4 linked regions of the Neurospora crassa OR74A genome follow. The protein of the gene in region 4 interacts with the protein of the main gene of each other region in a biochemical or structural test. Links are inferred from orthologs where the notes say so. Each region holds a gene or a part of one and is shown on either strand. Other genes may lie near its edges.

Region 1 (6,155 bases), about 6.0 Mb from region 4:
TGAGCAACGAGGGATGTTGCTCCAGGTAGAAATTGATGGCCTTGTAGTAGATTTCAAGGTTGGCCACCTTGACGGTGATCTCCTTGAACTGCTGGTGCTCCCAAGAGTTCTCAGGGCGCTCCATAACGGCGAGAGCAGCATTGTCAAACTCATCGTAGTGGTAGTAGCAGAAGACCAGCTCAGGCCACAAGTTGGCTTCCTCGCAAGCACGGATCATCTTGGGGAGGTTCATTCTGCTCCAAAAGAGTTTGAGGTGCTCCATAAGGCGCTCGGGGTGGTATTTAGACAGCGCAATACCCAACTCGGTGAACATTCCCATGTGGGCGCGCTCCAATCCAAGACCCTGCTCGAGCAAGCTGATGAGCTCATCAAAGTAGCCGTTTGTCTCGTACTGCTTGACAAGAGCCTGGAGTTGCTCAGCATCAACAATAAGGTTGAGACCGCAAATCTGAGCAAGACGGAACTCCTTCTTGTTGACGCAGGCCTCGTGGACCTCCTTCCACACCTTGATGTTGTTGGCCTTGCGGGCGCAGTCCACAGCCGCCTGGTAGTCGGACAGGTGGACAAGAGTAGTGGCCAGCTTAGCCCAGTTGGAAATGCTGGTGTAGAAGATTTTGGCCGCCTCAAAGAAGCCCTCGGCGTACGCCTTGTCACCAGACTCCTCAACATTGGCAACATTGGTAGCACGCAGGAACTCTTCAAGCTCAGGAAGTTGATCGAGGCGGGCGTAGCAGAAAGCAAGAGCAGTGTCAATGACAGGCTCCCGAAGGGTCTTGCGGGCCATACGGAGGTACTTGATGAGCTCTTCGTTCTTTCCAGCAGCAACGGCAACCTCGATCACTTCCTCGTAGTTCTTCGGATCCTCGGCCTTGATGTAAGATTCAATGGAATCGCTGACGCGGAGACCATCAAGCTGAGCCTTGGCAACTTTGCTCCAAACCTGAGGAATATCAACCTCCTCGGCGTATGCTTGAGCACGGTCAATGCTAACGACGTGCTCAACAAGAACATTGACAGCGGCCTCCTTGTTGTCAATCTTCTTGTAGACCTCAAAGGCTTCCTCGTGCAGGCCAACCTCAATACAAACATTAGCAATCTCGTCGGCGGCGAAGTTGTCGAGCTTGTGAATGTAGTCCATCACACGGGCCTTGTCAGCCTTGGCGGCAGTGAAGATAAGCAAGTTCTGCAGGTTCTGGTTGTCGCTGAAAGGCGACGGCTCCAGGACAATCTTCTCCAGCAGCTCAATAAGCTCGCCAGGCAAGTCGGCGTTCAGGAAGCACGTAACAGCCTCGGAAACCTTGGCGGGATCAGTCGACTCAGGAACGGCCGTCGAGATGACTTGGTCTACGACAGAACGGCGGTGAACGTTGTTCTCGCTGAGCACAAACATCCAAAGTTCCCTATCAGCGCGCTCCAAAAGATACCTCGCCTGAGCCTTGTACATCTGGTTCTCGTTGGTGATGTTCACGAGTTCGAGATCATTCTGGCCCTTGCGATAGGCAATATAGGCCAAGTTGGGATCACGCTTCTCGCAGTACTTTCCAACAGTGAGGGTATCATACTGATCGTTCTCCTTGAGGAACTTCTCTGGGTTGTTGTTGGAGTCAATGTATATCTTGGCGAGAGCGTTGTAAACAGCCTGCTGCTGGTTACCGGCAGCGAGGGTAGCCTCCAGGAAGGGCAGGAGTAGCTTAAGGCGGTTACGAGTCTCAACCTCCTGCACCAGCTCATCGATAGGGATAGATGCGGGGTTGACCGTGCTTAGGAGATTCCTGATGATGCTTTCATCACAGTCCACATCGAGCAGTCCTCCGATGACACCAGGAGTCCTGCTCGGGTTGACCTGCTGCACGTAAATCTCAATGGACTTGAACTGCTGGTGCTGGTACAGGTAGAGAACCAGGTCATGAACAAAGTTGAAGCGATCGCAGACAACCATCAAAGGAAGCATCTCGCTGAGCTTGGCCTCCTTGAGGAAGTTCTTCACCTTCTCGGGGTTGTAAACGCTGTTGTCGCGGCAGATACGCTCAACCTCGCGAATTTGTCCCATCTTGGTGGCAGCCTCAATGTACTTGAATACGACTTCGGGGTCCTCGGTGACATTGACGACACTGGCAAGGAAGTAGTAAAGACCTTCAGCAGTCTTGTACTTCTCAAAGAGATCAATCAATTGCTGCGCGCCGAGGAGCTCCGCATACTTGGTTGCGACTTGAACGACAGTCTGGAGATTCTGGCGAATATTGTGCTTCATCATGGCGTCCAGGCAGTCAAGCGATTGCTCAACAGACAGCGCCTTGAAATACTCAATCAACCACTCGGGGTTGTAGTTAGGCATTCCAGGGATGTTGACAATAACCCGCTTGATGGACGCAGGATCCTCATAGAGCTCCAGGGCCTTCTGCAAAAGACCTGCTTGCTCGCAGAGGTTCGCAATGTGCGCCTTGTCAAAGTGGGAGAACATGTCGTTGCCAAGAATGGCGTCAGCAACCTGGGGGGCGTTGACGAGGTTCATCTCCAATAGACGAGTCTGAAGGTGGGCATGCTCGGGCTTGTTATCCTTCAGAGCGTCAAGAAGGAAAGCAGTTGCTTGCTGGATCATTCCTTGAGACTGGAAGATGTCAACCACCTTCTCGAAGTCGACCAGCGGGCCGCCTTCGTGATTGGCAAGCGTCGTGGCAAACTCGGCACCCTTCTCAGCATTGACACGGACAATGTGGTGGAGAAGCTGAATAAAGTCAGGCTGGTAGTTGGCTTGACCGCAGTAGGGCAGAATCTTCTCAAACTGGCCAGTCTCGGCAAACCCAGCAACAACCTTGTGAGGAGCGTTGGCCTTCAAATAGATGGCAAGCGCCATGTTAATGTCGTGGGGCCGGACCATGTCACCAAGTCTCTCAGAGCACTCGAGCTTGTTCTCGCTGAGCCACTTCTGCAATAGCTGTTTGCGGTTCTGAGCGAGAACGGGTTGGGCAAGCTCAATGGTCTCATGCTCGTTCAGCGAACCCTTGTCTAGAAGCATACCAAAGTACTGCAAGATATGCGACATCTGTCCAGGCTGCTGTGGAAGACGCTTGAAGCGCTCGATGGTCTGAGGAGTGCGAAGGAAACCTCGAGGAGAGTTGGCAGCCACCTTGGCGGCCTCTTGGTAGTTGCCATTGCTGAAGAGTTGCTCGAAGCGTTGCTGGTAGAGGTTATCGGCGCCTGGGAGCCCTGCACGAGAAGCCAACTTGATAGCGAGCTCATTGCCGTGTGCCTCAAGGACGTAAGGAACGATTGTGTTCTCATCGGCGCTGACGAAGAGAACCTGTCCCTTGCGGTTGATGCCAATGACGCCGGTCGAATCCTTGTCACCGCAAGCAGTGAAGATAGTATCGCTTGAGATGCGGTTCATGAAGATACATGTGGCAGTCTCGAGGTCGTAGAGGTGGATGAAACCGTACTTGGTGATAAGGTAGATGATGCCGTACTTTTGCGAAACCTGGAGGGCGACGGGGAAGTCATTGCTGGCCTCGGGAGGGAAGAAGACGTCCACGGCCTTCTTGGGGAAGACGGGGTTTGTTTCGGGATGGTCGACCTCGACAATGTGGAGCTTCGCGCCGACGGCGGTGCGGACCGCAAAGGTAAACACCTTGGTGTCCTCCGGGGCGCCCTCTAGTCGGAGGGTGCCAAAAGCAGCGGCATGACCCTCAATAGCCTGGCTGATACCGCGGTCTTTGGAATAGAGCTGCATGGCGCCAACAACGCGGCCCTGCTGTTGTGAGATACCGACAACAACCATCCACTTTCCGTCGGCGCTGGTCCGATAATTAATTATTTGGTTGCCCTGGAGATTAGCATTACGATCGAAGACCTTGACCGGAGCGGGCTGGTTCGGGTCGAAGACATCCCAATGGTAAACAGAGCCATCTGTGATCAAGCCAAGCGTGGTCTCGCTAACCCACTTCCAGAACAAGACATCCTCGCTCATGTTTGTCGACTTGAGCTTGGCCTTGTTTTCGAGGTCGAAAATCTGGAGTGTGCGCGCCTGGGCCTTGAGGGCAATTACTTGGCGCGTCCAGTGCATTATGGCACTGTCGGCCTTGATGGGACGTCGGATAACATTATTGCCGTTCTTGAGATCGACGATGATGACTTCAGGGGACGCTGCCTCGTCCTTCTTGTCGCGAATACACACCCAGTTGTCCGATTCTAGAGTCTGGGAGCGGGGGGTTCACGTCAGCAGGGGTGCCAGAGGAGGCGCGACAACTGTCACTAGCAGAGTCAGAGCAAGGTGAGGACAACGTACACAGGTATTGAAAGTGATGGCAGTCTGGTTGATGCCGAGGGCGCTGAGTTGCAGCAGCTCCTGGAATTTGATGGGTAGGGCCTGAGCCATGATGGGCGGTGGTGTTGCGCTAAGCTGCGCGCAGAGTGACGAAGATTAGCAGCCAACTTATCAAAAGCGGCTGGAAGGTGAATCCGCTGGGAAGTAGAAAGATTGGGGAAATGGAGGCTCGTGAAGCTCCGTGGACTGAATGGAATGGCGGCGACGTGAAAGGAGGCGGTGGTGGTGGTGGTTGGTTGTACTTTGGGGGGAAAATGACCGAGCTCCCGAGAAATGGGGAGGGGGAAAGAGGACGGATGAATCAGGTAGGTAGAGGTAGGTAGGAGGTTGGAGGTGGAAGGATTAACGCAAGGTCCAGAAGGCAGGTACGCAGTAAAACCCGCCGCCAAACTGTGGGTGAGAGGTGAGTCGCGATTTGCCGCTCAGTTACAGATACGTAAAGTAAAGGCGAGCAGGTACCTCGATGTCACCTCACTTCAATGCTCCAGCAGAAAGAATAGAGAAGAATCGCGGTTGTTGAAGGATGCAAAGCAGCAAGAGGAGACGTCGTTTGTTACGGGAAGTTAGTACCGTGAGAGATGAAAGATACAGCAGGAAAGATGGAAGGTGCTGAGGTGAGATGCCTCTCCAGCTGTCCAGTGTGTTTGTACATGCCGCAACTGTTCAGCGCAGACGGAAGGTACCTCTAGTACCTCTCAGGTTACCTGCCTGCTTTTGAGTGATGTGTTAACACGGGACCTCGCGGCCGGGGCGTCCACCGCCCACCGGCGCCGGCTCCATTCAGTGCTTCCCCCTGCGTCGGGTGCGCCTAGACCAGGCGGCAGGCGCCTGCCCGGGAGGCCTGCCTGCCCCCTTCGCTTCAAGCTGTCCGCCCGGTCCAGGTTGCCCGCCCTCATCCCGTCATCCTTCTACTTTCCTTTGCCCGCATTGATCGCCTCTCCTGCGAGGTCCGTCAGACGGTCCTTCCATTTCCTACCTCTAGGTACCTTATACCTCCAGGCCGCCTGCCTCCGGGGGCGCCGTTCATGCCGGGCTCCAGGGGCAGCTGTTCCCTACTCCAGAACAGCCCAGCTCCAGGGGTAGCGTCAGCTGTTGCTACAGGGATTCCGAACTTGGCCCAGCTTGACTAATGTGGGGCACTGACCAATGGCTCACCTTTTGGGACCGCAGTGAGGTGGAACCCGATTTGAGGAAAGAGACTTGGCATTGCTATCGATAAGCTTTTTCAGAAAAGAAAATCGACCCGGAGAAATATCCACAAGCGCCTGTCGATGGTGGGCTATCAGTGTTCAAACCAACCCCAACAACATCCCAATCACCACCAGACGACCAGCAATACCATCAAAATGGGTGTCGGACGTCGCATGCAGAAACAGGGCCCTCCTGAGCCCCTCTCGGAGGAGCACTTCGCCAACCTCAAGCGCAAGAAGGGCATTCCCTTTGACGAAACCACGACCGAAGTCGACACTAGAAGATCCAAGAAGCAGAAGATTGTCAAGAAGCAGCCCAAGACATCCGGCTCCAACACTGTCGCAGTCAAGGGCGCCAAGAAAGAGGTCAAGGAGGTGAAGAAGACTGGCACAAAGCCCGCCCACAGGTCCAAGGAGTCCAAGAAGCCTAAGAAGGCAAAGCAGCCTTCGCCCGATCATGACGAGGAGATGGACGACGAGTTTGGCGCGTCCGACCTGGAGGGCCTTGATATCGACGGCGATGAGATGGACGTTCAAAAGCTAGGAGACGATTTCCTCGGCACTGACGACGACTCGGTTTACGATTCCGACCAGGACGGTGCTACCAAGAAGGAGGCATTCGTCTTCTCTGACGATGAGGATGA
Region 2 (4,195 bases), about 6.7 Mb from region 4:
TTCCGTGGTCTGTTGAGCTTCCGCCTTGAGGGCATGGATCCACTTCAGAAGACCGACGTTGTCATCAACAGCAATAACGATGTCCAGATCAACCTGCAAAAGCTGAACAAGCTTGTCGAGACCTTCGCTCCTGGCTTTGGCCAGCTCGCTAACAAGGGTGACCTTGGCGACATCGTCGATCAAGAACTCAGCAGGGCAGCCGATGCCATTGCTGCTGCCGTTGCCCGTTTGCAGAAGCTCAAGAACAAACCTCGCGATGGATATACTACCTACGAACTCAAGGTCCACGACTCAATCCTCGATGCCGCCATGGCCATTACCACCGCTATCGCGCAGCTCATCAAGGCTGCCACCGCTACACAGCAGGAGATTGTGCAAGCTGGTCGTGGCTCGTCTTCGCGCACCGCCTTTTACAAGAAGAACAACAGATGGACCGAGGGTCTTATTTCCGCCGCCAAGGCTGTTGCCAACTCTACCAGCACTCTCATCGAGACTGCTGACGGTGTTCTTTCCAACCGCAACAGCCCTGAGCAGCTCATCGTTGCATCTAATAATGTTGCGGCCTCCACCGCCCAGCTCGTGGCTGCCAGCCGTGTGAAGGCCGGCTTCATGAGCAAGAACCAGGAGAGCCTGGAGGAGGCCAGCAAGGCTGTCGGTGCCGCCTGCCGTGCGCTCGTCAGACAAGTCCAGAGCATGATCAAGGACCGCAGTGCCGAGGATGAGCAAGTGGACTACAGCAAGCTTGGGTCGCACGAGTTCAAGGTGCGCGAGATGGAGCAACAGGTACGTGATTCCTTCGAGATTTCCTTCCTCTTTCATTTCCGGTACCCTTGGTCTTGCCTATTATGGTTCATTGCTGACCAATTCATTCTCTCCCCATCACAGGTCGAAATCCTTCAACTCGAAAACGCATTGAATGCTGCTCGCCACAGACTTGGCGAGATGCGCAAGATTTCGTACCAACAGGATGAGGACTGATTGTCCCGCAACACATGGGGTTGTTGAGGTAGTATACTCGGTGGCTTCATTCATCTCGCTGGCTTTACGCTTCAATGCGCAGCGTGGGCACATGCATCCGACCAGATCCCCTCCCTCATTCTGTTTTCGTCCCGCAGCGTCTTCCAAAATCTTCATCAGATGTTTTATATTTCAACTACCCCCTCTGTACCTAGCTCGAATTCCTTTGGGAGTCATCAGGTGTTAGTGTTAAACTCAGTTTCATCCACCTTGTTCTTTTTCATCCACTGAAGTCGTCAATTGGCCGTCGTAACTTCGGCCTCGGATATGTTCCGTTCGCTCTTCGCGCGGGTGTTTGGTAACACAGGCAAACCGCCACTCCCGCTGTCATACTGCTGGCATCCGTCGTGTTTCTTTTATGGCGATGTACATCCTTTTTTTGTGGTTTCGATTTTCGCGTTCGCTGCTCGCTGCTCGCTCGATCGGTCGGTCTGCCAGAAAGTTTACCAGATACGTCAAGAGTGAGTAGGCGACCAAATTTCGTGCTTTGTGCTGCTGAATATCACCCCTTTTCCGCCTCCTCTTCCCCTTCCCCTGTCACGTCAGTCCTTCAGCCCTCGGCTGTCCAATTTCCCTACGTCTGCTTATACGGCCCATTTCACTCCCTCTCTTCGCTTTTTTGTCGCAGCCCGTTCGTTGTCTCGTCATCGGTGGCTGCTTTCGTTCGTGCAGCAAGATTCAGAACGAGAAAATCTCTGGTGGAGGGAGTTCAAGTTCCGTTTCCTTCCTATCGCCTGGTCCATTATGCTGTTTTCTCTTTTTCTTTTCGTTCCCCACGTCAGCTTGAAAGTCTGGTCTCTGTCTCCCTCTTGACTTGCATTTCCTAGTTCTTCCCATTCTGGCAGGCCAAGCTAAAGTCGAACCATCACACTCTCCTGCTTCCCTCTCCGGTCGGTTGGCGTTCACGTTGTTATGCTATTAAAGTGCTCCTGCGGAGTCGTCGTTGTCGTACCAACCAATAGCTTGGATGACGGGTAATTGGATGTACCAGTGCCAAGTATTGGATCCGCTGGTGTTTGCTGCGGGCAGATGGTTGTGATGTCCATGAGCTGTACAATAAGAAGAGATGTATGGGAGAGCAGGGCAGCGTGGGGCTGCGTTGGGCAAGCAATTGCATTCTTCCATGGCGTTTATAGGTTGGGACCTGCAGCAAAATATTCAAGGGTATACTTTTTGGGGGGGGAGCCTCTTCAGGTCGTTTACGGGTCTTGGTCGAGATATAGTATAGCCTACAGCGTCCTTGGGTTTGGGATTCTTACGTAGACTTCAATACCTACATTGGTCAATATGCGAATGAAAGCGAATCAAGCCTCAGCTTAGATAGTTTGTATTTGGTATGTCGCGCTGTTCTACGCTCTAGGTATGTACCGATGTTGCCGAGCACCAGCGCCTGCTTACCTTTACGCAACTGCAGAAGTGAGCTTCGCTCGTGCAGGCAGGACGACACTGCCACCTTATTATTTATCCCGCCTAGTAAACGGTAGGCATTAAACTTGGCAATTGTAACCTCGGACCTCCCAACCTACCCATGTACCTGCAGAAGTGAGCTTCGCTCGTGTAGGCAGGATGATATTACAACCTTAGTATTCATCCCGCCTGGTAAACGGTAGGCATCAAACTTGGCAACCGTAACCTCGGACCTCCCAACCTACCTATGTACCTGCAGAAGTGAGCTTCGCTCGTATAGGCAGGATGATATTACAACCTTAGTATTCATCCCGCCTGGTAAACGGTAGGCATTAAACTTGGAAACCGTGTGCCCTCGGACCTCCCAACCTACCTATGTACTTGCAGAAGTGAGCTTTACCGGTACTCGTACAGAAAGGATGACTGGTCACAAAGGATGAATGCAATCAGATAGGAAACCCGACCCGGGCCCTCCCAACAGGTACTTAAACTACTGTATCCCCCCTCTCAAATTCTTCTCCCAACATATAACCAAACATTGATGATTATATCATAGTGTCGACCCCGAGGATCTCATGCTTACTGCCTGCTTAGCCGCTTCCCGCAAGAAGAAGGGTATTGATACCATCGACAAGGCTTTCCTCAAGTCCCTCAAGTACTACCCCCGCGCCAAGTCCGTTCTCTCCAAGTACAAGGTTCTCCAGTTCCACCCCTTCGACCCCGTCTCCAAGAAGGTCGTCGCCGTCGTCACAAGGCTTTCCTCAAGTCCCTCAAGTACTACCCCCGCGCCAAGTCCATTCTCTCCAAGTACAAGGTTCTCCAGTTCCACCCCTTCGACCCCGTCTCCAAGAAGGTCGTCGCCGTCGTCGAGTCTCCCCAGGGTGAGCGCATCACTTGCGTCAAGGGTGCCCCTCGTTTTGAAGACTGTCGAGGAGGACCACCCCATCTCTGAGGAGGTTGACCAGGCCTACAAGAACAAGGTTGCTGAGTTCGCTACCCGTGGTTTCCGTTCTCTTGGTGTTGCCCGCAAGCGTGGCAAAATTTCTATCAAGTATTCCAGGTATGTTTCTCGCTTACTATTCAACTCTCTACTTTCCGGTCACTCTAATTCCTTTCTCATATACTGATAAATATTCTAGGATGAAGATCACCGAGTCAGTAGCCCTTGAGGTTGACAACCACAACTTCCCAACCCAGACAGTCATTCCAGCCATTATTGGATGGGTTGTCATTGGGTACATGTGGTTCTGGTATCGATCGATAAATATTTGGGTTCATTGGAATGGAGCTATCGATACGTTTACCCACTACACAGAAAACCAACAAAGAACCCGGATCGCAGCATATTGCCTGATACCTCTGATGTTTGTTGGAATATGGCCTCTCGATTTGTTTGGCTGTATCATTTGCTACGTATCGAAAGCGATCAATAACGAACAAGGACTTCCGAGGACCTTACCAATTGCGGAAACCCTAAACACAACTCCGACGAACCCAAATGTACAACACCCTGACCCTCCCCCACCTTACAATGGCGTTGGGGCGAAGTGTGCTCGTCCATGAATCACTTTGCCGATCGTGACGTTGAGCGTGGTGTTTGGCGAGGAGGTTGTAGTGATGTTTGTGACGGGTGGCACATAACAGCGGAAGATGATAGCTCTTTGAGGCTAAAGCGTGCTTGTTGTCTCTTTTTTCCCCTGAAGAGTTATCGCGTTTCTGGCTATGAGGGTAAACTCGCGGTACCAAACCTGGCCTAATAGCCCACAGACTC
Region 3 (6,245 bases), about 7.9 Mb from region 4:
TCCCTTCCGCTCTCCGTGCTGTCAACAACAGCCCTACTAACCACCTGCTTCGCCCATCAACAGGAAGGCCTACGGCGAGCTTCCCGACACCGCCAAGATCAACGAGACCGACACCTTCGGCCCCAACGAGGACGGCGACTGCGGCTTCGAGTTCGACGAGGACCGTGACTCCGAGGAGGAGGATGGCGCCGAGGCCGGTGGCAAGGCCGTTGATATCGACGACATCTAAACGTGTCGTTGCCTTCTCAACACCATATCGTCGCCTCATTCTTCTCGGCACCTAAGAGGAAAAGAGGCAACAAACACCAAATTGTTACCGAAACATGCGAAATAACGCCACCCTTTCCCAACTTCCCCCTTCTTCCTATCCACTCCCTTTTACGTCCTTCTCTCCAAGTCGGTATCCCCAAAGGGTCTGGCCAGGAAGTAAAGGGGTCGTCCAGGAAAGTCCAAAAAAGCTGTCTTCTCTCTCAAACCATTCTGGTGGTCTCTGTTTTCGGTGTGTGTCGGCCGTACGCAGCCAGCCCACGTTTTTTTTTCAACCCATCAACCATAACCGTTAACAGCAGCAGCCAGTTTGGTTCCCCGACAGTTTGGTGTGCCTATTATTTCCTTGTTTTTCCGGTAACAAGACAAGAAACAAATCTTACGAACAAAATCAGGAGGAGGAGAATCGGAGCCAGGTACAATGGTGGGAGGGACGTCATTTACCTGGGTCCGGTTAGTTGGTTTGCGGGACTCGAGGTCCTACAACCAGGCAGAACGAAGGAGGAAGGCTGGCAGAGTAAAAAAGTTAAAAAAAGGGGGGGCGAAGGACATAAAGAGCATCGATCCATCCGCAATGAAAAGAGGATGGTTACGTGCACTCTGGGATATTAAAAGGGGTTAGGCTGTTTTTATGATAGGATGGCTTTGTCATAAACGTCTTTTATGTTCTTTTAGGGGGCTCTCTCATGTCTGGTTTCTTTTTCTTTTTTTTTTTCCCTCTCTCGAGCTAGGAAATGGTATTTTGGTACGATCACACATTACTAGGCTTCTCGGTTCACGCGAGATGTGTCTGTCGGTCACTGGAATGTGACCCTGTAAGAGCCAAAGCACGTCCTTGTTCTACTCGAGGACAAGACGCAACATGTGTTAAACAGCACCTCTTCATCCCCTCCTCGCTCAAGTCCCCATCCGGCTATGTACATATATCATTTTTCGTTCCTCTTCTTGCTCCTTGCAAGACCCGCCCGCACCGCCCAGTAAAAGTCTTGCTTGTAACAACATTCCATCAACCTCACTAGAAGAGAACCGCCGAGATGTCCTACTCTTCACTATTTATGCTTATCCTGGTCCAGTTGTTCGATATATGACCAACACTTCTTCTACGATGTTTCGGAGCTGTCCGTCTCCCCCTTATTCAAATTGTTTCTATGAGACTAAACCAAACCCAAGTGACGAAGTAATTACTGGTCCGTAGGTAGCTCTCGGAAAGCAGCAGCATAAGAAACTCGGGACTCAGGAACATTGAAATTGTTGAAAGCGGCAACTACTGTAGTCACGCGACCGAGTATTTTCCTTTTTTCCAATACAAAACACTGTCAAACAGTCCTAGGTAGGTAGGTAAGTAAGTAAGTAATCTTCAAGATACATATATATCAATGAAACCTCTTCAGGCACTCGCCGCTGTCTTTGAAGAGTATCAAGTTAAGATGGGAAACAGAGAATAAAAAGCTGGTATAGTATTTCTGAAAGTGGAAAAAAAAAGTATAATTTTGCATTTCTTTTGTTTTCTTGTTAAACACCAGTGACGAGGTGTGAATATTTCCAAATACGGTGAAGCTATATATATATATATAGTATGCAACGACACTGCATCCTTTCTTTCATTCCTTCCTTCCTTCCACCCCTCAGCTTTCCTCTTCCCCTTCCTCTCCTTCTTCTTCTTCCTCCTCCTGTTCCAGCAACGGCCCATCCTCGCCGTCATCATCTCCTCTATGGCCAAATAACGACCAGATGAATGGATGATGGTTGGATATCGGTGTCTCTCCAGTCTTGCTTTTCATTCCTTTTGCACTCTTCTCCTACTTGGAACCTTGTTGTTTTCCGGTGGCTCTTCACCGTGTCATTGTTGGTATCGGGCACTTAGTCCCAATCATCACCATCATCTTCATCATCTGTTTTTCCACCAGTGTTAGCATCATTCTCGACATGCTCTCACACTTCACAAGCCAGGGATAATCCAGATACTTACCACTCTTGCTAACCTTCTCCTTTCTCTTCTGCAACGCCAACGCCAACGCATCCGCCATTCCACCACCGCCACCCGGCGCAGCTCCAGCGGGCGGCAATCCACTGCTTGCGGGCCCACTATCGGAGCCACCAGGAACAGCAGCACCGGAACGATCGCGAATCTGGCTTCTGTCTACCTTCTTCAACGCCCTGATACCTCCCGCGGTCTTGATGCCGTCCAACACGGCCGAACGACTGCCGTCAACAGGTGGCAAGGCAGGGGCGGGCGGTGGAGGCATACCACCTGGAGGAGGGGGAGGAGGAGGGGGAGGGACACCACCCATACCACCCGGTGGAGGAGGCGGAGGCGGAGGCGGTGCGCCGCCTGATGGTGCGGGCATGGGTGGCATGGGAGGCGGCGGCGGGGGAGCATGTGCTGCGGGTAGAGGGGGCGCCGGAGGTGCTGGCGGTGCCGGTGGTGGCGGAGGAGGCGCGCTGGTTGCGGGAAGGGGAGGTGGTGGAGGCGCCTGGGTGGCCGGTAAAGGCGGCGGAGGTGGCGCGTTCGAGGTCGGGAGAGGCGGTGCCTGCGGTGGTGCCGGGCTTCTAGTTGGCAACATGGGGGGCGGCCGTGAGCTCGCAGGCGGGAGGGGAGGTGCTGGTCCCGGTGCCTTGGGAGGCAGAGGAGGTTGCGCAGCTGAATTTCTCGGGGGCGGTGGCGGAGGAACAGAGCTACGGCTGGGAGGCGGCGGGGGTACACTTCGTTGGCCTGTGAATGGCGGAGGAACGCTGAACCTCTGGCTCGGGTCCTGATCTTCGAGTGGCGTCTTCGGCGGCCGGGGAGGTGGTGGAGGTCCAGGCGCAGAGGGCGTATGTCGCGGGGGATCAGAGTGGGCAAACTTGCCAGCATCGGCGATGGGAGGAGGAACAGCAAATCTCGGCGGAGGGGCCGGTTCCTGGTGGTTTTCCGTGTCGAGCTTGCCGGATCTCCTTGCTGGAGGGGGAGGCGGGGGTACTGGCCCTCTCCTAGAGGTCGATGGAGTTATCGACTCGGAGACACTGCGCGGAGCAGCAGCAGGAGGAGGTGGTGGGGGAGCTCTCATTGCGGGACCATTAGGAGGAGCGGATGGCGGCGGCGGCGGCGGCGGAGGAGTGCTCGTGTGTATACCCTGCTTCGCTTGCTCCTGTTTCAAGAACTCAATGATAAAGTCCTGGTTTTCGCGGATGAAGTCGTCGTCGAGGCCTTGGGCCTTGAGGTCGTCACCGAAGTGTTCCCTCCACAGGGGATCGAAAGCATCCAGGGTCGCAAACTCGGAAGGAGGCTTGTATCCGTTTATTCCATTAGTGCTTCCAGCTCTCATACGGCCTGCCGGTGCAGCGGCACGTGGCGACTCGGGCGGGGTGGCTGTCGGAGACGCGTGCTTATGTCCTCCAAACAGACCGCCGAAAAGACCGTGGTGCTTGTGGTGGTGTGCCTGGGATGCGCCTCCGAAAGGTGTCTTGCTGGTAGCCTTGCTGGCGTTCTTTTCCCTGTCGTTCATCTTCTTGAGGAACTGCTTGGCTTCCTTCTCGTCCACGAAGGACAAGCCAGCCAGGCATTCCTCAAGCTCGAAGGTATGGAAGAAGACACGGTCCTGGTTGTAGTTCCAAGTGTCGAAGATCTCCTGGTCCCATATCACTCCCCTGTTTCCGGGCTGTCCGATGTCAGCCAAATGGTGGCCAGCCACGCAATCGTCATTTTCACACTTACCGAGATATCAACCATCTTGATCCAATATGTGTTGCCCACGAGATCATTTGCCAGAACGACGGCACCCTGGAGGCCGGTATAGGTCCATCTGGACGGGTTGGGGTAGGCTACATAGAGCCTGGCGACGGCGACGGCGTGGATCTTGTTGGTCTGCTTGGGCACGCAGCGCTTGACCGTTTCCTTGTCGTCGTCGCTGAGGATGGACGGCATCGTGAATATATATGGGGGGTGGAAGCGTGGAAGTGGCTTGAGGTAGGTTGCGGCCTGTCGTCCCCTTTAGATCGTCCAGGGGGAGCAAAGCATGGATAGATTGGGAGTCGTTATGCGGAAATTCGGTAGAAGGACTCGGCCGGCGGGCGCAGCGCCGAGAGGTACTGTTATGAAGCTGAGTCGTCGTGCCTTGATCCGGTCGGCGGGTCGGTCGGCGAGGGGAGGGGGGCAACGTCGACCGAAGGGTGAGGTAGCAAGTCGGAAGTGGGATGTCGTATTAATGCTTTTCGGGTCGTTGGCGCTTGTTATCGACGGCCAAGTATCTTGTCGGTACAAGATAAAGTAAAGCTCCGCGCTTCCGTGGCCTTGCCGCGTAGGAATAAAAGCAGTTGACGGAAGCCTAGAAGAGACAATGGAAGTTGCCGGTTAGCTAGAGGTAGGTCTGGGTATTGGAGGCACGGATGTTTGGTGGTTGGTGGGAGGAATAAGGAAGACTCGGCCGCCCGGATGTCCAATGACTGAAAGGAGCAAAAGCAGATACTGAGTAGAAGAGACGGCGGCAGGCTGGGAATAACGTACCTCGGACAATGATCCAGCAGCCTTCAGTTGGCAAGCTTAGTTATAATCTGCCGTGAAAATTCAATGTATTAAAGCTGTACAGACTACAGAGAGAGGAGCAAGTCCCATTGCAAGGTAGACAAGAAGGAAGTTGAATTGCGGGTGTACCTGGCAAGAGGTTCCTTAGGCATGCAGTGAGTGTACACTACTTAACTACACTATGTACGGGGATTGGGAGTTGCATCACTACGGCGGCGGCAACGACCGGGCTGTTTGGCTTTGACTGAATGGAATCAGGATGGCAACGAAACCCCAGCAAGCCACAATGACCAATTTCCGACGGGAAGCGACCAACTTGTGGACATGAACCAGATAGCGTCATGACATTGTGCCGGGGGTGGATAGGGCGTCAATTGTCCGTGTCCACTAACAGTGGGTACCTATCCCTCAACTGAACCCCTCCACTATTCCCGCCCGCCGCTTGCACAGCCGACCTTTCGCTTGCCCGCCGTGATGATGGATGTCCAACGAGACGGTTCCTCCGAGAGCTGGGTGTTTGAGGGACATGTTGAAACTGGCAATGACAACAACTTCCATGTGCATTTGGAGGTTATATGGCTCAGGTTGATATAGGATGAAAGTAGTGTAGGTATGTACGAACATGGGATGACATGAAAGTACCTACCTACCTTCACATGCTAACATTGCTCCCATTTGAGACAACTTTCGAGGACCAGACCCCTCTCATTTGGGCGCAATTCCACCACCAAAGTCACTTTAGGCTCCAACAGGACTGATCCATCAGAGTAATTGTCAAAACAGTTCAATTATGTTATGTGTATGTGTGTGTATCATTCAGTCATTGCAATCATTCCATCCATTCCCCTGTTTGTCCGAGTCCATATCTTTACTTGTTGAGCGTCTCGGCCTTGGCCCTGCGCTCCTCCTTGGTGCCCTCCTCGCCGCCGATGTTCTGCGAGATGGCGGGACCGGGCATGGCCTTTGACGCCTGCTCGAACGTGGCCTTGGCACTATCAGCGAGCTTGTTGAGGGGGTTGTTGGGGTTCTTCTATTTGTTTGGCCAAAGAGTCAGTTTTCTGTTTTCTGTGATTCACACAAGGCACCAGACTAGGGAGGAAATGGTAACGTACTTGCTCGTCCTTCTGGGTGTCGTGGGGAAGAATGTTGACTTCCTTCTTGCTGAGATCGTCGCCGCCGGCCATTGTGATGGTCTTGATGTTATGACTTGTCTTGATGGTTCGTGAGGAGTGGGTCGTAGTGAGACAACTGAGAGGAGTCTTGATCAACTTTTTCGATATCGTCTTGCAGGAAGATGGGTAAGGTGTAGAAGTGGAAGGTTTTGAAGGTCGAGAAGGGTCTCTTTTATAAAAGAAAACGATGGATGAGCAAAAGGGAATAAATAGGAAGAAACCTGTAGTCGTCGTACCACGTACAAGGGGCCTAAAAGAGAGGGTGTAAGACAATGACGTCGCCTGGGGGTGGTCACGCGTCGTTT
Region 4 (8,292 bases):
ACGATTGATACAAGGCCCTTCCTTACTCTCAGTATCCTCGGCGAAGTGCGTCTTATAGTGAAGTAATGTTGATGAATACCTAGCTAGATTGAAAAACCCACAAGTCCCTACCTATTGCTTACTGAGGATCCTATATCATTACACTTTTACATCATGTACTGTGGGTTGATGCGTGCGTCCAACACGTCTGGACGAAAGTAATACAATATTAGAGTTAGGGACGAAGCAGGAAGACGAGATGACTCAGTCTATTACACGAGAAAGAATTGTGTATATCTAGGGCCTCTGATATGCGATGACAGCAGTCCAAATAGGATAAAAGGTAAGACCTGAAAGACCAGATGGCAGGTAAATAAGATCTTTAGTACTGCGACATGTGCTGGCATGATGTGCCGTCACAGTCACATCAAGTACAATCGTAACGATACGTTCAAGTTTATCCACCATCGGTATGGTAAGAATAGAAGAAGAAGCAAGTGCCGTCGTTTGATACATACATACGTGGCAACTTTGTTGGGACTTTTGAGAGTTTTCATTCACATCCAAGAAGACGGAGGTAACCCGAAACTTGACAATCCATCTTAGTAATTATCATATTAAAAAGTTATCCATCTTATTATAAAAAAAAAGATTGCAACGATGCTATGCGATCCGCGGTGCTGCTGCTGCTTCTACTGCTTCTACTGCCTCTTCTTCCTCTTCTCCTTCTGTTTCGTCGGCGTGTGTCTAATTGTGTTTGTTTGTCTCGGAGAACTCGCTAATGCTTTGCACCACACCTCACACCTCACTAGGTACCTTTCCCACCATGGAACTTACCACCAACCAACCTTCCCAATTCCGCTCGCATTTGCGTTTCCTTTCACCGAGTTCTCTTCTTCACTCCAGATTCACCTCGCTCTGCATCACCCATTTCTTGGGTAGTCCGCACAGTCTATTAACAACCAGCCCCAACCAAGCAACAAAACTAAACCCAACCACTGCACGCTCAACCACTCACAAGAATCCGACAAAGCCTACATGAATTGTATGGAGAAAGCTTAGAAACCGAACGGGTTATCGGGAGCTAGGAAACTGTTAGCACATTTCCTTTTACTACAACAAGACATGCCTTTTATGCGGGCAAAACTTACTAGCAGCAGCCAAGTTGGCTCTCCTCCCCGTCGCCTGCGGCGCCAGTTTCTTCGCATCACCACTAATACCGAACCTCACAGGCGGCGCCGGCCCCGTCTGCTGCGGCACCAACGGCTGCTGATGCTGCTGGGGTCCGTTTCCAAAGCCCTGAGTGAAGCTCATGCCCGTAGCCTGAGGCTGGAGAGGAGGCGGCAGTCCACCACCGACGTGACCGTAACCGGTCGGCTGGGGCATAAAGGGTTGCGGCTGTTGTTGAGGGAATTGACCGAAGCCGGTTTGCTGGGGCTGCATGCCTGTCATCATGGGTTGTTGTTGCTGCTGCATACCAAAGCCGGTAGGCTGGGGCATGAAGGGTTGTTGTTGAGGGGGGAATTGGCCGAAGCCGGTCTGCTGGGGCTGCATGCCCGTCATCATAGGTTGCATGCCCGTCATCATAGGCTGTTGCATCTGTTGTTGCTGGGCCTGCATCTGGGCGGTGTACTGCTGCTGAAGACGTTGCTGGGCGAGATCGCCGAGGCTCTGGCCAGGAGGAGCAATCTGGGGTGCCTGGAAACCGGTCATCTGAGGCTGGATAGGGGGTGGCGTGAAGGCGCTGGGTTGAGCGGACTGAGGCGCCGAGAGGGGGCGAGATGGAGGTGGAGCAACAAGACCACCCGGGGCCGCAGTGAACTGAGGAGCAAGAGGTCTTTGACGGGCAATGTTTTGAGGAAGGATCTGTGCACCAACAGCAGGAGGTTGCATACCGGTGAAGAAGCCGGGAGTGGCGCCGGTAAGCTGAGGGACCTGTGCAGGAGCAGCAGCAGCCGGAGCTGGAGCCGCGGAGGGCGGAGGCAACGTGATGGCCGGTTGCACAACTGGCGGAGGAGCGACCTTCTCGGGTTCCAAAGGCTGGGTAAGCAACGACAACTCCTGCATCGACTTGGTAAGAGCCGCCGGCGGAGGGGGGGCCGGCGCGTCAACCAGAGCTGGCGCAGCAGGGGCTGGAGCGGCAGCGGGTGCCGCCGCAGGAGCGGGAGCAACGGCTTGCGCAGCCGGCTCAGGGGTTTTCGTCTTGGTAGGCTTGACATCCCAAGCATCATCATCAAAGCCACTGGAAGGCTTCGAGGCAGACGGTGTTGGCGTAGCCGCAGCCGTAGGAGATGATGACTTGCCACTACCAGCACCCGAGTCCTTAGAGAAAGCGTTGGGATCAACGGTGTTGCTGACCTCGACGGGGGGCGCCGGCCTGCCCTTCTTCGTGTTGTTGCGGAGCGCACCTCCTGGCCCAGAGAAGAGTCCTCCCTCGCCCTCTTCGCCTTTCTTGTTCCGCATGTACTTGTTGTCCAGGTACCGCATGACCTTGATAATATCACCTTCACGCAAGCCCAAGTTCCTCAGCACAGTAGCATCAACATCTGGCAAGACACTTTCGTCGATAGCCTCCCGCAGGAAAGCTTGAGAATACCGTTCGCACAAACCAACCTGTATGTCACAACCAAGGAAGAAGTTAAACCAGTCGTAGTCGGGCTTCTTCGAGGAATCGATGGTGGCGCCAACCCGGGAGCTGGAACCACGGTCTCTTTCCCTGTCGCGCGTCGATCGACTAGACCTCGAAGACTCACCGGCGGATCGCTTGTTCCTAAGATCGGATAGGGGCTTGTCTTCGTCGAGAGATTCGCCAGTTACGCGCTCCACGTACTCGAGATCCTCAACTGACATCTTCGAGACGGGCACGGCGATCTGCACACCGTTCATCTTGTGGAGCCTGATCTTGCCATCCTTGACACCGAGGAACTGGGCCTCAACGCTGAAGGACTTGGATCGATCGGTCCATGTTCGCACTTTGGAAGGATCGGGCTCTGCGACAAACTGTCAGTATTCTGCATACTCTGAAAGAAAATCTGGACATGGGTGTACTTACTCGACTTGCTTGACGACTTGGAGCTGCTGTTCTGACCGGGTTCGCGCCTACTGCTTCGCTGTTTTCCTCTCCTGTTATCATCTGTGGCCGGCAAACTACTATTTCGTTCTTGCAATTGCAATCCTGGGCCTACCTCAGAGTTCCTCTTCTGCTTCTCCTTCTCTTCCTCGCGCTGGGCAGCCTTGATAGCCTCCTTGGTTAAGCGCGCCTCTTCCAGGCGGTTCTTCTCGACTTCCGACATGCCCACGGCAATACCGGTAACGGCCGTCTCCGGCTCTTCCCACACGCCGTTGATCTCAATGTAGCTGCTGGGAACCACACCCTCCTTGCCGTTCTTGACGCGACGCACCATCCACCACTCGTCACTCTTGGTATCGTCGAGAATAACTACCTCATCACCAACGCCGACAGTAACCTCGTCCTCACCCTGAGCCATAAAATCATACAGCACAGCACCCTTCTTCTTCTTGCCTCCGGCTCCCGCGGCAATGATCTCCTTGAGTCCCTCGAGGCGCACAGTTCCGGCCATGTCGCCCAGCATCGCGACGATCTCTTCAGCGGTGTCCTTGGCGCCCGCATGAAAGTCAACGCTCTTGCTTGGTCGTACGAGCTCCATAAACACGTGCTTGCCCTCCCGAGAGTAGTGTGTCATGCAATCGGCCCGCCATTCCTGCGATGGACCGTCGTGGGAATGTTCCGGCGCTATGAGAATCATTCCCGTCCTCAGGTTGATGCCCAGCGTGGTAGGCATCTTCTTCTTCTTGCCCATCACCGACGTCATCTCGTTGATGTTGTACATGTGGAAACCGCCAGGGGTAAGCGCGGCGGTCTGAGGAGGAGGAGCCTGGGAGGTTCGCGGGCTAATGCCATAGTCGTCGGTGTCGTGGGCTGCTGACTGAGCGGGCGGCGGCACCGGTCTGTAGGATTTTTGCTCCGGAGCAATTTGCGAATCGCCCCGCGGGCGGCTCGGAAGCGGCGGGGACCTTACCTCATTTTCGTAATCTTCCGAAGCGTATGACTGTCGCTGGGGCTGGGGAACACTGATAGGCGCTGGAGGTTGGAAAGAAGAGCGGTTGGCCATAACTCCGGCGATGGCGGCGGCAGCAGGGTTGGAAGCGGCGACAGGGGTGCTTGGCTCGGAGGGCACACTCCTGGCGGGCAGGGGCGGGCTGGCTACATCGACGCTGACGCTGGGTGTCCTCTGCGGAAGAGGAGGAGGGGGGGCAGTCGCTTCTTCCTCCTCCTCGACCTGGCCAGCCTGGCCATCGCCCAACTCGATGTAGTTGGCGGGCGCGAAGCCGTAGTCGCCATCGTGGCCAACAAGGATCCAATCGGGGTCGGAAGTGTCGAAGACTGAGAGCTGCGCATCCTCGGGGAAGGAGAGCTCTTCGTCGGTCTGACGCGTGTACTCGTAGAGCGCGCGAGCGTATGATACGGGTTTCGCCTGGCGTCATGGTGTGCGCGGTCAGTTCAAGTGATCCATCTGAATGCCAAGGCCAGCCAGCTTGCTATCCTCCAAGCAGGTACAAGTGCCCAGATGACACTGCACGCAATCCAGATCTAGACCTCGGACCACATTACATACCTCCTCAATGTAGTTGTTGGGGATCAAGCCGACGGGCTCGTCATCGTCGGCAGCATTGGCCTTCTTCTTCGCCTTCCACCAATCGTCCTCCTGACTCTTTTCCAACACATAGAGAATGTCGCCCTCGGAGATTGTCAACTCGCCCTCGCCCTGGGGCGTGTAATCGTAAATGGCCCTATAGACGCCGAGGAAGCCCATGGCTGCTGCGGGAAATCTGCTCGTATGATGCCCTTTGGATGGCAGCCGACATGAACCGACGCAAGGGAGTTGCTGTTGCGAAGAAAGGAATTGGGGAAAACGAAAGGCGCCGTGGTGCGAATGGTGGCTGGTGGTGTGGTATCACAAGTCTTGGTTCTGCCGGGGAAGGGGGGGTGTGTGTGTGTCCGGTAGGAAATGGAATCAAGGAGCGAGCGGCGGCGGCGGCGGCGGCAGCAGCGTGTGAGAGCGGGTGACGCTGGGTTGGTGACGGGTGACGGGGGTGCGGCGCTGCGGCTGCCGGGCAGAAGGTGAACGAGGATGGAAGCTCTTCTAGAGTGTACGGGTGCTCCTGAAGCAAGGGGTAGCCGCTGAAGCAAGCACTGTAGGTATGCCCGCTTGCGCGTAGGATTGCGGCCGGCCAAGGCCCTCCTGTATGGTACCTACGGATAGGTAGCCTGTAATTTCGAGCGAGGGAACGTCGGGAAGATGTCGACGACAGCGAGCACGCGCGGCTGCGGTGACCCTGCGAGGAATTTGACCTTTATCGTGATCAAGAGTCTGGAGTTGCGGTCGAAATGGTCGAGCCAAGGGAGACGTTGGAAATTACTCTATGTCCAAGTCGTGGACCCAAGTGCTCGTTTAAAGGAGCCGGTCCGGGGGGTGTGTGTTCGGGGGGGTGGGGGGGTTCGCTGAATTTGGGGGAATTTAGACGATGCAACGAAGCGGTCGCGAAGACACCGCGATCTTCATGGATGCTATCACCAAAATGTATATTTATGTAATTGCAATGTCCACGGAAAATCCATTCGAGATCAAATCAAGCGTAGGTAGGAAGTGCACTATTGACCCGAGGACAAATGAACACCTTGTTCGTACCTTACAATTTGAAACCCCAAGAACAGGTACGTAACCTCCCAGCGCTGGAGGTGTATGTACCTAGCTTTTATTTGGAATAACCGCAGCGCATTTCGAGGGTTCAGGTCAACCCCAATGACCGACCAACAACATCGAAGCAAGGTACTGGCGCAGGAACGAAGGATTCTTGTCCAAATTGAACCCGAAAGAGTGAGATCGTGCAGGAGCAAGCACAGCCCAGCCGCATCTCGAGCGCTGCTGGTACGGCATAGCACCTGAATAAGTACCTCGAAAGCGCAACTTTCACTTTGTTACACAGTATCTATTGATTGGCCGTAATTGTGGCTTAATTGTGACAGTCAACTTGGGCTCTTCTTCACGCCCAACTTTCCCATCAATCAATCAAGAAACAGCAGCCAGCTGGTCCCGACCGGCAAACCCGGGCATTCATCAGCGATCTACTGTAACCGCACGTGTAGATAGCGTCATATCCCGGGTTTTCCCTCTTGACATTTGGGCGCTTGGTGGATCGTTCATTTCAGGTCGGGGTCCGCTGGGCATGGGAGCCGTTCAGCGGGTGTCGATGTTATTTATACGCCCCCTGAATTGCATTTGTTTCGTCGTAACTCCCTCGCGTACGGTAACGTAATCATCAATACAAGCTAGTAGCAACTATTGTCGACCCCCTTTTTCTTGGTGGAGATACCCTGACCAAAAGTCTAAACGCCAGTTCAACGTAGATTATACCTATATCGATCGAATCACCCTCTGAACTCGGTTCAATATTCTGTCAAGTCTATATAGCATGACTCCAGATACCAGTACCACTTGCATTACCCAGCCAGTCCAGACCCAGAATGGCCCAATGTCTAATATCTTCAACGAAGATGCCCTTCACTCACTCACTCACTCACATACCACCTCCAAACAGTCAGGACAGTCTTGCACAGGCGTACTCCCCACCTCCTGCGCCATCCCCACCGTAGCTTCTGGAGGCTGCATGTCCTCCATATAATCCTCCATCACAATCACGCTCGGTGTGTCCTTCCTTCTCATCATCTCCACCTCGCCGACGAATTCTCCAGATGAGGTGATGTCAGCCACCTACGGCTTAGCATCGCTCTCATGCAACGAACTCTGTCGGGTGCTGGTCTTGCGCCCCTGGCTGCGCGACATCACCCCGGGGAAATACCTAGGTTCGTGCTCGGGGAGATGCAGCTCCCTCATCGAGTCGGTGAGACCAGTGGCGGTTCCTGTTCCTTCGAGCGCGGCACTGGGGAGTCCCAGCTGAGGCGACTGCTGCATGGGGCTGGGAAGGGTCTGGGACTGTGAAAGGGAGTCGTTTCCCCCGTGCGGAGCGGGCTGCAAAGTGCTGGTGTTGAGCGGTGTCTTCGCCTCCCCAATGATAGCCTTCGCAGGCGGCGCCGGAGATTTGGGGGCTGCTTGGGCAACAGCTGCCGCCGATTCGGCTGCGAGGGCATTGTATCTTTCAACCCTGTATTTATTCACTTGTCAGCAGTCGTCCACAGGGTCGACGGAAGTACATAAACTTACATTCCCCTTTCCTCAAGTAGAGTTCTATAGCGGAACTCCTCTCTGCGGTCAGGCACGTTGGTCTTGACCATGGTATTGCCCTGGGCTCCTGGTAAGTCAAAGTTCTTGCCCAGCCACTGCTCCTTGATCGAACGCTCGTAACCACTCTGCTTCACAGAGTTCTTTGCAAGCTCGCACATATCCACGGGGCTGAGCTTGTAGATCTGCGCCGCCACCGCATACTCCTCGATAAGCGGCTCCTTGGTGAACGCAAACTGGAGAGGATCATCCGTGGAGAGCGACACGTTGAGGCCACGCTTGAAGTATTGGTGCATCGGGTTTCTCTCGTATGCCAAGAACAACGCGTTGTTGCTCAATGGCGACATGGCAATACCAATTTTTTCAAGGTAAAAGACGTATTGCAAGACAGGAACCTTGCGCAAGAGAAGACCGTGGCTGATGCTGTGGCAGCACAGAGCAGCGACGGCAAGATGCTCGCTGTCACCCGCTTCACCGCAATGGGGACGGAGGACAAAAGTGTTGAACCCACGCCTCTTGCGCCAATGGTTAAGCGAGGCCATGTTCGCATACAGGTAATAGATCCAGTAGCTGTAAGGAGGGTTCTGCTTGCCGTCCCAAATCTTAGGGACGGGGAACTTCCTGAACAGTCGTCGCTCGACCTTGCTTTCATCGTCGACACTGTCCAAACCAATGACTCTCTGCAGGAAGATGTGCAGCTTGGGGTGGCTGGAGGGATCCTTAGTGACCTCGAACAAGGGCTCGAAGATGTTCCTGACAATTTCCTCAAACGTGTTTACGCCGCCACTAGCTTTGTAGACATCGTAAAGGCGAGGAATCTGGACGAGCCAGCGGACGTTGTGAGAGAACAGCTTGTTGTCGACAACCCAGCTGGCAAGCTTGTCCCACTCATCGAGGGACTTGCCGTAAATAGACACACGCCACTCAACCATCTGGTATTTGCTAGACTCCAGATCCGCAATGACTTCCTTGGTGATTTCGGCCAGGTAGCGTCCGTTGATAAAGTTATCGGTCTTGAGGAAGATGGTACGCAAACGCGACTCGCCGATTG

What was found. The genes of interacting proteins can lie anywhere in the genome.
Region 1: the proteins of NCU02978 (region 4) and NCU02510 form a complex in vitro, tested with the Saccharomyces cerevisiae proteins (2 studies listed by BioGRID). The link is inferred for Neurospora crassa OR74A from reciprocal best matches to the Saccharomyces cerevisiae genes SLA1 and CHC1.
Region 2: the proteins of NCU02978 (region 4) and eat-2 form a complex in vitro, tested with the Saccharomyces cerevisiae proteins (2 studies listed by BioGRID). The link is inferred for Neurospora crassa OR74A from reciprocal best matches to the Saccharomyces cerevisiae genes SLA1 and SLA2.
Region 3: the proteins of NCU02978 (region 4) and NCU07438 form a complex in vitro, tested with the Saccharomyces cerevisiae proteins (2 studies listed by BioGRID, with this or other methods). The link is inferred for Neurospora crassa OR74A from reciprocal best matches to the Saccharomyces cerevisiae genes SLA1 and LAS17.

Annotation. Positions count from the first base shown.
Region 1 is NC_026501.1:2,560,507-2,566,661, forward strand, and holds the start of NCU02510 (clathrin heavy chain), read right to left. Parts: upstream 4,973-6,155; 5' UTR 4,373-4,972; coding exon 4,283-4,372; intron 4,193-4,282; coding exon 1-4,192. Other genes in the region: NCU02511 (S-adenosylmethionine-dependent methyltransferase superfamily domain-containing protein), read left to right, coding at 5,593-6,155. UniProt on the Saccharomyces cerevisiae protein: Clathrin is the major protein of the polyhedral coat of coated pits and vesicles. In yeast, it is involved in the retention of proteins in an intracellular membrane compartment, presumably the trans-Golgi.
Region 2 is NC_026501.1:1,865,880-1,870,074, reverse strand, and holds the end of eat-2 (cytoskeleton assembly control protein Sla2), read left to right. Parts: coding exon 1-783; intron 784-885; coding exon 886-978; 3' UTR 979-1,523; downstream 1,524-4,195. Other genes in the region: NCU01957 (AR2), read left to right, coding at 2,865-2,905, 2,981-3,484, 3,564-3,987. UniProt on the Saccharomyces cerevisiae protein: Required for cellular morphogenesis and polarization of the cortical cytoskeleton. It might act in concert with proteins such as CDC42 and CDC43 to limit the region of cortical patch formation to the cortex of the bud.
Region 3 is NC_026501.1:625,079-631,323, reverse strand, and holds NCU07438 (WASP-like protein las17p), read right to left. Parts: upstream 4,973-6,245; 5' UTR 4,751-4,972; intron 4,572-4,750; 5' UTR 4,172-4,571; coding exon 3,962-4,171; intron 3,906-3,961; coding exon 2,237-3,905; intron 2,160-2,236; coding exon 2,128-2,159; 3' UTR 1,737-2,127; downstream 1-1,736. Other genes in the region: NCU07437 (eukaryotic translation initiation factor 1A), read left to right, coding at 64-229; NCU07439 (hypothetical protein), read right to left, coding at 5,637-5,798, 5,881-5,952.
Region 4 is NC_026501.1:8,517,903-8,526,194, reverse strand, and holds NCU02978 (cytoskeleton assembly control protein SLA1p), read right to left. Parts: upstream 4,815-8,292; coding exon 4,617-4,814; intron 4,476-4,616; coding exon 3,032-4,475; intron 2,970-3,031; coding exon 1,131-2,969; intron 1,064-1,130; coding exon 1,038-1,063; 3' UTR 581-1,037; downstream 1-580. Other genes in the region: NCU02979 (AMP deaminase), read right to left, coding at 6,774-7,164, 7,224-8,292. UniProt on the Saccharomyces cerevisiae protein: Component of the PAN1 actin cytoskeleton-regulatory complex required for the internalization of endosomes during actin-coupled endocytosis. The complex links the site of endocytosis to the cell membrane-associated actin cytoskeleton.